Neodiprion lecontei: one gene and its partner. The protein of the gene in region 2 interacts with the protein of the main gene of each other region in a biochemical or structural test. Links are inferred from orthologs where the notes say so. Each region holds a gene or a part of one and is shown on either strand. Other genes may lie near its edges. The genes, in order: BAG family molecular chaperone regulator 2; serine/threonine-protein kinase Pink1, mitochondrial.

What was found.
Region 1: the proteins of serine/threonine-protein kinase Pink1, mitochondrial (region 2) and BAG family molecular chaperone regulator 2 form a complex in vitro, tested with the Homo sapiens proteins (2 studies listed by BioGRID). The link is inferred for Neodiprion lecontei from reciprocal best matches to the Homo sapiens genes PINK1 and BAG2.

Annotation. Positions count from the first base shown.
Region 1 is NC_060264.1:8,009,733-8,014,467, forward strand, and holds BAG family molecular chaperone regulator 2, read right to left. Parts: upstream 2,904-4,735; 5' UTR 2,667-2,903; coding exon 2,501-2,666; intron 2,184-2,500; coding exon 2,071-2,183; intron 1,463-2,070; coding exon 1,238-1,462; 3' UTR 665-1,237; downstream 1-664. Other genes in the region: receptor expression-enhancing protein 5, read left to right, coding at 4,155-4,281. UniProt on the Homo sapiens protein: Co-chaperone for HSP70 and HSC70 chaperone proteins. Acts as a nucleotide-exchange factor (NEF) promoting the release of ADP from the HSP70 and HSC70 proteins thereby triggering client/substrate protein release.
Region 2 is NC_060263.1:37,178,846-37,186,304, reverse strand, and holds serine/threonine-protein kinase Pink1, mitochondrial, read right to left. Parts: upstream 5,486-7,459; 5' UTR 5,301-5,485; coding exon 5,186-5,300; intron 4,426-5,185; coding exon 4,151-4,425; intron 3,680-4,150; coding exon 3,144-3,679; intron 2,922-3,143; coding exon 2,799-2,921; intron 2,567-2,798; coding exon 2,149-2,566; intron 2,074-2,148; coding exon 1,975-2,073; intron 1,892-1,974; coding exon 1,637-1,891; 3' UTR 667-1,636; downstream 1-666. Other genes in the region: ubiquitin-conjugating enzyme E2 J2, read left to right, coding at 6,467-6,591, 6,748-6,982, 7,231-7,359, 7,456-7,459. UniProt on the Homo sapiens protein: Serine/threonine-protein kinase which acts as a sensor of mitochondrial damage and protects against mitochondrial dysfunction during cellular stress.

The DNA of each region.
Region 1 (4,735 bases), on a different chromosome or scaffold from region 2:
AATAGACATGATTTTTACACAATATACATATACTATATACATATAATGTATACGGATTATAAATAGCAGGTCAACTATGTCTGTGAAACATATCCGTATAAAAAAGAAAAAATGTTCGTACTCTATCACATAGAGTGCAGCCCAGTGCTACGCTTTTATTATAAGATTACAGGATAAAAATTACATATGTTATTAGGAATTTGATAAAAAAATAAGGCTTTTATGCTAGAACACAATGTAACAAGACTTGATGACTCTCGATAGTCTTCCCAATTGTATAACAGCTTTTAATAATAACAAGAGACATTACATTGTCTTGAAATAATCGTCATTTTCTATGACGTCTTATCAGTCGAAATAAATTTGATTTAGTCGCAATCAATTTATAGATTATGACGAAGTAATTTTTTTCACGAATTTTTTTTAACCTTTTATCACACATGTATACCTAAGCTAACAATTGATGATACAACTTTTATAGTATAACAGTTGCGACCAATTGTAAAAATATAAGGAACAGGTTCTATATTTCTCGCACCAGGTTTGAATTTGATTTTAATTTAATCGATTAGAAAAACAGTATTATTCTATTCAAGAATTATTCTATTTATATTTGAATAAAAAAATAATTCCGTTTTCTCTGGAAGTCGCAATTTAAAAAAAAATCTTTTAATACGTGCGTTGCAGACGATTGTGCCTATTATTCAACAGATCAAAAGTATTACAAACTCTTTAATATGTTTTAATTTGTCGTGGTGTAATATCAAGTATTTGAATTAAATTAGGAATTATCATTGGGTAGTTTTTCTTTTTCACATTACATGTAATAAATAAGTACAGAAAACGGACTGACAGCAAACAGACCAAACTTTCGATTTAGATTAAATTTGATTTCTTCCTCTAATGTAGCTGAATGGTAATTCATATTTTCATGCTCTATACGTTAGCTATGTGTTATCAGAGTTGCTTTTTATCTACAATCGTAAATATGAAATTCGAACTTTTCTCTTCATTGTCGTTTAGCTTGTTCTCTAGGAAATTGAGGAACACCTGCAATCTGGTTGATCAATTATGAGGAAATGATATCTGCAATGTTTCATTGAAAATGTTGCTTCTTTGCTATGGAACTCTAATAATATACTATGTTAAAGACCATGATGGTATATAATATGATTGCTCGAAAGTCAAAGTAAAGAGAAATCTTCTCAATAAGCTCTTAAACGTATATTCGTTAAAATTATATTGTATGCATCTTACTAATGTAATCTAGCAGCCCCTGCAGTCTTTTTTTGATACGCTTTTGATCATCTAAAGTACAACCTAAAATGGCAGACTCGAAAACTTGTTCTGAATATTCCGGACCATGGGAAGTACAAGCACTCATGAACCTCCTACATCGCTCTCGTGTAGCCTGGGGATCTTCTTGCAATTGGATGACCAAGCTGTCGATCAAATCATTTACCTGTAACAAAACATACGACGTCAGATCGGATCAGATATACTACGGACTAAAAAATTGTGACGAATAGTTTTCACTGGTTAATTATCAATTATAAATAATTCGATGTAGAATATCCGAATAAATCATTTTAAATTTCACTAAATATGTTAGCTATATCGAATATTCATCACCAGCAATTCATGCTACAGCAAATGCCTTAACAACGGTTTTGAAATCGTACGTCTCTCAAGATATGAAAAATCCTATTCTAGTATTATAAACTATTACCACATATTAAATTTTCTACCACCCTAGTAATATAATCAATTATTGACATATAAGCAGGCAGTGTTGGTCTTGATGCAAGCCATCAAAAAGTGACGATTACGTTAGCTGGCCACCCAGTGGTCAACCACTATCAAGCCAGTGGTCTGTTACATCTATTTTATTATGGAAATTAATTACCTACTCACTAATTAAAAAAGTAATTGTGTTACAAAAATATAAATATAAACAAATAAAATAACTGCGTAATTACGTGGAAAAACATAGATAAAATAGGATGTTTAATGGTTACGTATAATGATTTTCATTCAGCAAAACATCAATCATAAAAAAGTCTTTCCTACCTTGTGCAGAGATTCTTCTTGATCTGTATTTCGCTGAGTTTCAATGAGGATTTCAACTGTCGAGGTCCGCACCCACAACCTCTCCACCGATCTCATGATTTCTTCTCTCTCCTCTACTCGGTTATAGAATAAAAAAATAATTGATTAAAAGTGATTGTGGATAATGGTGTTAGATATGAAATAGAAAGAATCATAGCAATATTTCACAATTCACGGTGAAAACACAATTTTGTTTACAGGTTTGTCTTTTTCTATTACAGCAGTAGGAAATTTTGGAAAAATTCTTTACTACGTGTTGTTATCTCATTATTTCGTAGCAACGTGAACTCGGGGATTCCTGTTGTTTCCGTTAACCTCTAGAATTTTCTGTTCATAGTTGTTGTCAACGGATTTAAATGGATCGAACTTACCGAACTCGATCCAAACTTACCGGTCACTAATTCAAATACACTTTCGTTGTTTTGAAGCGCGTCCAACGTGCTTAATAAGTTCTCTTTCTTTTCCTCAAGCTCCCACGCTTCTCTTCTCAACTCCTCAACACGAGCCTCGACCTGATCGAGGATACTGACTAACCTATCTCTCTGTTTGTTGTCCATGATTTCTGCAAACTGGCTATTATCTCCCACTCGTAATTACTTCGAGACGACACTTTTACCGTAATTCCAATTAACGTCTATTAAAACTTCCGAAAAAATAGTGTTTCACAATTTTACGACCCGGTGGAACAACACGTTACGAGTGATAATTCATTTCCTTTGGATCTGACAGCCTTCGTGGATCTGACAATCAATCGGTACTCAGCACCTATATGTATGTATAATTTTTCGATGGGAAACATCGCGAAAGTTCGGTACCAACTGCTGAGTGCGACACTGGTATGTGGCGCATTGGCGTATCGAGTAGAAAATGTCTTTCATTGGTCCGATCTAACGGAAGGCGGTACGTCGGCTGCTGTGCATGCTTATGCAGAAAATAAGAGGTGTTATTATTTATGTACGGTCAAAAATGCAGCCGACTGCAGCTGTGATTGTAAAAATTTTATGGATAATAAATGGAGAAACGGACGTGAATACACATGATATCAGTCAACGCATGATAGTTGCTGTTAGTATGTATATTACACATTGTATACAAATTATGCGAATATCCCGCCAAAATTGTTAAAATGACAGGCGCAGAGCTGGCGCATAAAATGGCACGCAATTGATACGAACAAAGTATATATACTTTGCTTCATATAAGTAGAATTATAAGTCTATGCTTTGCATGTAAACCTATTCGAAAATATTGAGAATTTAAGAATCGTGCCGGCTCAGCTGTGTACGAGATTTGCATTTACGTCAAACGACAACCAGCCGCATTCGCAAACTCCGCCGGTAATCTATTACGTAGTGCTATAACAAATCTGCACACTGAACGGCTGTATTGAGAATCGATAAATCAAATGTAGTCGGCATATTATAAATATATATGGTGTATATTTTCATTACATTGGTCCAGTTGTGTTATGTGATGTTGTATGGTGATTTCAGGCTGTTGTCAAGTTGCCGTTTACTATTGTCATTCTCCGGTATGTAGCCCTGCCGGTGGTAAGATCCAGCTACATCTAAGGCTAGCCCAAAAAAGACGAAGCGGCGGTAAAAGACCTTCGATGGTAATAAGCGGGTTGACACAAGTTTCCCCTTCCACTTTTTTATTTGAAAACCAATTGAAAACTACGTTGAAAACTTATGATATTTTATTACCACAGCGACAAAAATAAATGTTGAAAAGGAAATTGCTAGTAAGAGTGGTAGGACTGATTTTAATAACAGCAAACAATGAAAATTTATTTACTTTTATCTCTCAAGAGTGCGCTGCGAAAAAAATTGTATTACCAACAAACGTGGGGGAAAACTCAGAAGTTTTACTAATCTTTAGTTATTTCATCACCCAGCTCGATTCAGGTGGTAATGTGTCGCAATAGGTGTCGAATAAGATTCCTATACTAAAGCATTGAGTGGCATTGAGTATCAACCCGCTGACGGCGATTGACGCTTTGGTTTTTATATTGAAAGCAGGTGTACAGATTCCTGTAAACAAAAATGGCCAGAATAGCAGTGATAAAAGAATCGTTGGATAAAGCATTGCGAGATGAAAGCAAACCGTGGACAAATGTTTTCGCAATTGCTGAACAAAAGATCGGGATAGACCGGCTTTACATTTTTCTAGGTAAGTTAGGTTACCTATCACGCATTCTGTCATGAATTTTGCACTTTGAACACTTATTTTGCCCGTCATTCCTTTATGTAACAATCTTTCCATTTTCAGTTTTATTATCCTTCGGCCCCAATTTACTAACTCGGGTTTCGTTCTTACTTCGTGCAAACATCAATTGTTGATCAACCTTATTTAAGTTTTTATACACGCAGTAAACGTGGTCTTGATTTTTCTCCAGACAGCATTTCGATTCCAGATAAGTTAACGTTAACACAATCTTAACCGATTTGCAAAATGACCGCAAGTTGATTAAAGCACAAATTCCACGTATGTACATGACACACTCCTTGCCTTCATTTACTTCAAAATTATTTAATAGAAGCTGGCCATTCATCACGACTACTAAGCCAGATAAACTGTTATCATGAATTCACTAGCTTACCTCATTTGTCAAGATAAGTACTGT
Region 2 (7,459 bases):
TGGTTCGTAAGACACATATCATTATTTGATATACACTGAAAAATATAAATTTCAGTGTGGAAAAAAGAATGCAAGAACTAAGAATAACTGAGGAAGTGGAAGAAGTGCCTTTGGATGTCATGTTCGCAGGTAATTCAATCAATATTGACTTTTCTTTTCATATTACCTCTAAATTACAGTTGCTTTCACGCACTGTTTTGTGGTGATAAAAGCTTATGACACTTTTTCAGCATACTGTCGAATGGATCCACTTTCCAATTCGACAGGCGTAAAGTTGCTGCCACTTTCGCAAAGCGATAAATGGCTGGCGTCAGCTAAAATTCTTGATATGCATAAAGTCACAACGACTGACACTGGATTGTGTTTTTTTAAATTTCACAAACGTGCCATCAGTTTCGAAGAATACCTCATATACTTGGAAGATTTGGCTCAAACAAAGGGTTTAAACATTGAAGACATGAAATTTGCAATGCAGAGAAGTGGAAAGCCAGTTCATCCATTAGATATAAAAAAGAAAAAAAAATGATTGTTAGAACTAATAAACACGAGATGCAAATATGCAGGATATTCTTCAGGATAGTTTTCTAGTCCCAAATTATATAACCATTTTATGTATGTATTGTTAGCACTGTTATATAATCTGTACAATAGTTATGAGATAGATACTTAAGAGCACTTTCCACGTATATTTGTATTCTCTATTTGGATCCTAGTTCAACTTCAAATCGATATTTACATCTCATATACAAGTTTTCACAAATACAATGAAATAATAACAGCCAATTCAACATAATTTCCCCTAAAGCTAGATTTCAGAACACGATAATTTAGAGAAATATACTCTTTATCAATATTCGACTAGTATTTCTATGAGATATTTAACCAAGCTGCAATAAATAATGTTATGTAATTCATCATGAGGAACTCAATATTTCAACAGGCTCTTACTTATCTCGATACAATCAAGTGTATCGCGAAGTACGAGTAGTTCCGCAGTATCTTGCGACTTTCATCGATATTTGCTGGTACGGCAAAATTCACAGTGCTCAATTTTATAATACGACAAATTGTTTATTCAAGGAACCTTATTTCTTTCACGTATTCAAAATACTTGTTGTGGATTAACAATGATATAAGTAGAATAAAATTTGAAAAACAACGTAATAGGTTCAAAAATAAAGCTGATAATATCTGTACATCCTTTTCAAAGGCACTTTCACCAAAAAGAAGAGACTGACATAACATTATTCTGCAGTACCATTTTTTGTGCTTCGCGCAGTTACAGAAGAGAAGAAAAAATATTCTTCCTTAAATCAGAAAATTTATGTACAGTAAGATGAATAGGCATACGTGTCTTGGAAGTAACGTAGAAATTCATTTTCGACATTTTTTCTCAATGTAAGGATTGCCTTGTATTGCAATAGCGTGTAACCATGTTGGTTATACCCAATAGTAATATGATTCCCGAACCAACATTTTTGTAAAGTTTTGAAGACTATTGAAGAAATAAATAAAATTTATCAAAGTTCAAGAGATAAAGCACAACTGATCTCTACCAGCATATCATGTTTTATCAATGCATCAGTATACAATACTCTAAGAATCATCTCTTGTTTCCTTCCAATAATACTAGAGTTTAAGTGTGGTTATGAATCCACTTCAACGCATCTCTTACATTTATCAGTGAAACTCTACTTAAAAAGCTGGCTATCAATTGATACTCGGGCATTGTGCGACGTCCACATGATCGGGTAGATATTTGCTGAGTATATTCACGATTGGAAATGAGATCTGCGTTCAATTTCTGAGAAAGTTGATTTGGCGTAGAATCAGTGATCTTTCGACCCTCGCAAAGAACTTTGGTCGTGAGACACAGAAGCCATTGAAGAATCTTGAACACAAAAATAATAATAATAAAAATGACAGTACATCAACGCGTGAAATTTAAAGCTCAAAAAGTAGAACAACTATCACCTCGTTGCTTGACGGTAATTTACTGTCGCTGTTTAACCAAATGCTTGGTGCCCAGAGAAAGACTTGTATAATGGTTGCCGCCATATCGGGATTATTCCTCTGTAACGGAAATAGAAGTGATATTAGTTTTGATGAATTTTTGAAAACACTTCCTTCCCTTAACAAAATAAATACCTTGTACATGCTTCTGTTAAGCATATTCTTAATCAATGCTACAATAACAGGTGGTATTACTTCTGGAAGTGGCGGTAATTCCGATTCTATATAGCTGTGGTTCATCAGCAGTGGTTTTTGCCCTTTTTCCCCATAAAATGGATTCTTCTGACCAAATATTTCGTATGCAATAGCCCCTGCAGCCCACAGATCAGCTTTTGTGTAATTCAAGCTAGTGAATGGTCCTGGTTCAGCATTAACGATTTCTGGAGCCATCAGTGCACTGTTTCCTCCTTTGTCAATATCGTGAGAACTATATGGCAGGTAGAGACCATGAGTTTTGTCTGCCAAGCAGCATCCAAAATCAGTTATTACCAACGACGGGCAATTATCACGTTCTTCTGAAAGGTCCAGAAGAATATTGTCACTTTTGAGATCCCTGTATTAAAAAATTTCACTGTATTAATAAACATACATTACGTGTAACCAAAAATACCACATTTTTATCTGTTGTTCAAAACGTAAATTAAAAGCAGCATGAAGAATTCACGCTAATTCTTTTTTAATGAACAAATATTAAGTCATCCATTGGTATAATAACCACGGTGCATGATATAAGAAATATTCGTCTACACCAAGTGGAAAACGTAATCCAACACTGACTCCCTTACCTGTGTGCAATACCTGCTGAGCACATGTGAACAATCCCTTCCAATAGTTGTGCTAACAACAATATCGATTTTCGAACGATTAATTCTCTGCCCACCATATATTGTTTCAAGCTAACATCATACCTGAAATACAATACCCGTATTGTCATTGGAAATCGATACACTATATTGATATCTCATTTCGTTGTAACATAACATGTAACATGACACACATGATTCTAGGTATACCTTTCCCAAGTGTTTCTCTTGTTTATAATTTTAGAAAATACCAATAAATTTGATCCAATTTTTCAGAATCTGCAAAATTCCGGAAATTTGAAGCTCCCAGATTATATTGTCAAGTACCTTTTCATCAGCAAAAAGAGGCTCATATTCCTTCCAGAGCCGTTCGGGTTAATCCTAGGTGGAAGAGCGTCAGGATACATTTTCGATGATCCCGGTAAATCAGGAACTCTATCGGCAAAAACGCAATACATAGCAACGATGTTCGGATGTGGAGAAAGAATTCTTTTGTTGTCAGCCATTTTCTGTTCCCACAAAGCCAGTTCTTCATTCTGACAATGTTTTCTAGCTGGTACAGTCTCTCTGTACATAGCTCTCAAAATAGCTGTTGCATTAGACTCTGCGTCATAGTTGAACATCATTTTAATAGCTAACGGAAAGCTGGACAGATCCTTATTACTGGTATCAACAGTAATTTGAGAATCCTGTTTTTCTTCGGGGTCAATCGGACGAGTGGCATACACGACTGCTGAGCATCCTTTGGCTATTGCTGGTCCAATTACAAAATCCTTTAAATCAACTGGATTGTCTTCAATCGTTGTTGCTTCGTAATTCTGGTCGTTTTTTGGAGTGTTCCATTGTACCTTAGACACAGCCTCCTATGAATGAGGTAACAGTTGATTACATAACATGTTAAATTTATTACAGTCTATAGACGATTTTCAGACGGTTTAGCGTTCCTTTTCGTGGCTAGAAAATTTTCACAATCGTTCATTAGTTAAATTTTACAAAAACAAGTGTGTTGAAATAACATTCAACTCACATGTGACTATCTAAAATCCCATTTACAAAATAATTATAAATGCCAGCTAAGTTTGAACTTGGAAAAATGATATATTTATAAACAACATAAAGTCTGAATAATAATAACAAATAAGCTGACATTTGAATAAGAGCCATTTGTAGATGACATCACCATGTCTAATGAAGCTTTAGTTAAGGGTTTATTTTTTCCTTTGAATGACATGATAAAATATGAATTTCATAGAAGTTGTGTTGCAAAAAATGAAATTTGTTTGTAAGAGCATCTAATTTTTATGTTCCAAAAAAATATCTGGAAGTATGCATACTCTGATTTCCCAGCAAACGCCTTCCAGCTCGTCATCTTTGGTAAGTATTCCAGTACCAGATGCCAGCGATACGCCAACCAGAGCAAAGAATGGTCTTGAATCTCCAAATAATAAACGTTTTGCTGCACGACGTCGTAAATCTCCGGCGAGACTATTGGTCACTCGCTTCAAAACATTGTCAACAAATATCCGCCGAGCATGGAGTCCCAGGAATCCGAGGTGTCTCCCTGCAGCAGAGACATTACCACCCGTAGGCAGCTGGCCCTGGGTCTTACCTGAATCAAGAATTTCAAAATACACTAGTCATAGTTTGGCAAGAAATTTTATTTTTATTTTATGGTGTTGAAATATTTATTAGATTATAGTTGAAGAAGAAATTAATTATGAGTCAAGAATTCTTGTTCATTAGTAATCAATCAACTAACTAATTGATACATAAAAATCTGAATTGAATTAAAAATTGTCCCATAAGTATGATAGTAAACAAGAATGTTTGCTTTTGATTCTGTAATTCTTTGTGTTGTTCTCAACATGAAAGTAATTTATTCCTACTCTCTCGCATAAAATGATGTTTCAAGTCGAAAGTATGGAATAAAACAATGAGAATACACTCTACACTGAATTGAAGCGGGAGTAAAATCTAACATTATTATGAGCACCAGTCGCGTTAAACGTATATAATCACATGTAAAATGCTGAGTATATAAAATTGTACAAAACTTGGAAGTGCGTATAATCGCAACAATGAAGGTGCCTCGAGTGATTTTACTAAAAAAAAAAAAAAAGACAATGAAAACAACGATTCGTACCAGCTCTGAGATTGGAAATGACGTTTCAAATGAATGCAGTATTTACATATACATTCCAAGTACGACATACCTATAATACGCCGTTACGTTGCAAGGGATAACCTAATGATAGTGACATGGTTATTTGTGACGATTGCCAGCGAATTGGTACCGGACTGATGAGATTGATGTGTCGAGTCGATTTGAGTATGATAGTCACGGGTAGAAGATGACAACAGGCCCTTACCTACTTCCACAACGTGTATTTTGTTGCCTTGCGTGTAATATTGTGGATTGCGTACTGAACGGAGAAGGACACGACCATTTTGCAGGAGACGTTGCGCTACCGTTCGTAACGACATTTCTCCGCACTCGTGGGCCGAGAGAGCCCGGGCGGGCCCTAACCCAGACGCGAAGAGTTTTAACTGGAAAATTTTGATCGCGCAATTATCAAGAGTCCTGGAACACTCTAATTATTTTTAAAAGAATTCGAACACGTCTTTTGTCGCCAGTTCAAAGTTCACCATTTGCAATTATCATACCCATGGATGAACCTGCCTTTCGGACCCGATTGGGTGAAATCAGCCTCCATTTTGCGCAGACTCGAAATCCGCAAAAGCGCGGGAAAATATGAAATCAGGAAACAGGACGTATACTACTCGCGGGTTTTTCCTTCTTTCGGATAAGGTACCTAGTGAAGCTGAATGCGACAAAAAAATCGTATCGCCAACAACGCTAATATAACGGTATAAGTATAATTAATTTTTCTGTCATAGCATAGATACTTATCATACTTCCTAGTTCGCAAGTACATCCGCGATTGTGGCGTTATAAAGGTAAACTTGCGTTGTAAAATCTGTTCAGTCTACTGATGATACATTTGGCGAAGTGCGAGGACACGCATAAAGAAAAATAATTCCAGTCAACCAACTTCTCTCAGTCTGAATTGATCCGTATTTACGATTCGAATGACGAAAGTGCGCCTGACAATGAGCGATACTTGGAATATAATGGTCATGCGTAAAGCGCACAAGTCAACTACGCAGGATGCTGGATTGTTTCACTTCCGGTATACGGGTCTTCCATCATATGTTTGTGTGCCGTGAAAATTGTTGGTTGTCAAAGTCGAAGGATATTTTTTCATTCGTTGTGACTCCTGATTTCTAACAATCGCAATAATATTCGCCCCGTATTTAGCCAGGTATTATCAAAACTCTGCGAGTGTACCGTGAAGTCGTATTTTCCAAACGCTCAAATTCCAGTTAACCTTTACAACGTTGACGTGGTTTTTTTTTTTTTTTATCATTTTTTTTTTTCATCGTCAAAACTGACGTCTGACTCCTCTACGAAAATAGGTTATCACGTTATACGTATACATGTAATTAATTGTATCGCGGTAATGTGTCTCACGAAAAACAGTTGAGCCTGATGTGAGAAATAATTAATACTCATTCGTGAATACAAGTGTGAAAACAGTGAAGTTTCCATTACCAATAGTACCGATCAACCCAGCCTAGTTTATATATATATGGTAATAATGAATAGAAAGCCAAACACTGCCACTGCTAGATTAAAGCAAGACTATTTGAGACTGAAAAAGGACCCGGTGCCGTACGTCGTAGCTGAACCCGTACCTTCGAATATATTAGAATGGTAATAAAGATAACATTATTTTGATCCTTCGCGTGCGTAAAAGATTGACAATTCATCCATTTGCACAATATTGATGTCAGTCGACGTATAGCATTGAATCAGGCTGCAAGCCTACGACGAGACAATTGATTTGTTTATTTATTTTTATACTTACAGGCATTATGTTGTCAACGGTCCGGAAAGTACACCTTACGAGGGTGGATTTTATCACGGAAAGCTCGTATTTCCACGGGAGTTTCCTTTCAAACCACCTAGCATATACATGACCACGCCAAACGGCAGATTCAAAGTAAACACACGGCTTTGTCTATCCATATCCGATTTTCATCCAGACACTTGGAACCCGGCATGGAGTGTTTCCACCATTCTCACCGGTCTCCTTAGCTTCATGGTAAGAAGGCTTCAGTAAAGTACATTTCCCATGTGCTAGTACTTCACATTGAAATTGCATATTTTTTTTAAGGTTTTCGCCAATATTGTTTCAAAAACTGTTGCAATACTTAAAACAAATGGAAAAATTCATATTCTACTTATTGTTGACATGTTGCTGGTTTCAGTCAAAATTTCAAATATTTACAATGTATTAAAAGTTTTGAGATATTGGAAAACTGTTGAAATATGGATATTGTTTTCGCACAGATTGAAAAGAGCCCGACACTGGGCAGCATAGAGACACCAGACTATGAAAAAAGGCTGTTGGCATCGCAGAGCCTTGAGTACAACCTCAAGGATAGTACATTTTGTGAATTATTCCCAGACACGGTATCGGTAAGTCGATAACCTCTTTGTTTAATGAATTTTTAAGATTCATTTACTCATTATGCAGCAAACTAGATACATAGATGCAATGATTTCACTCGATAGGCTA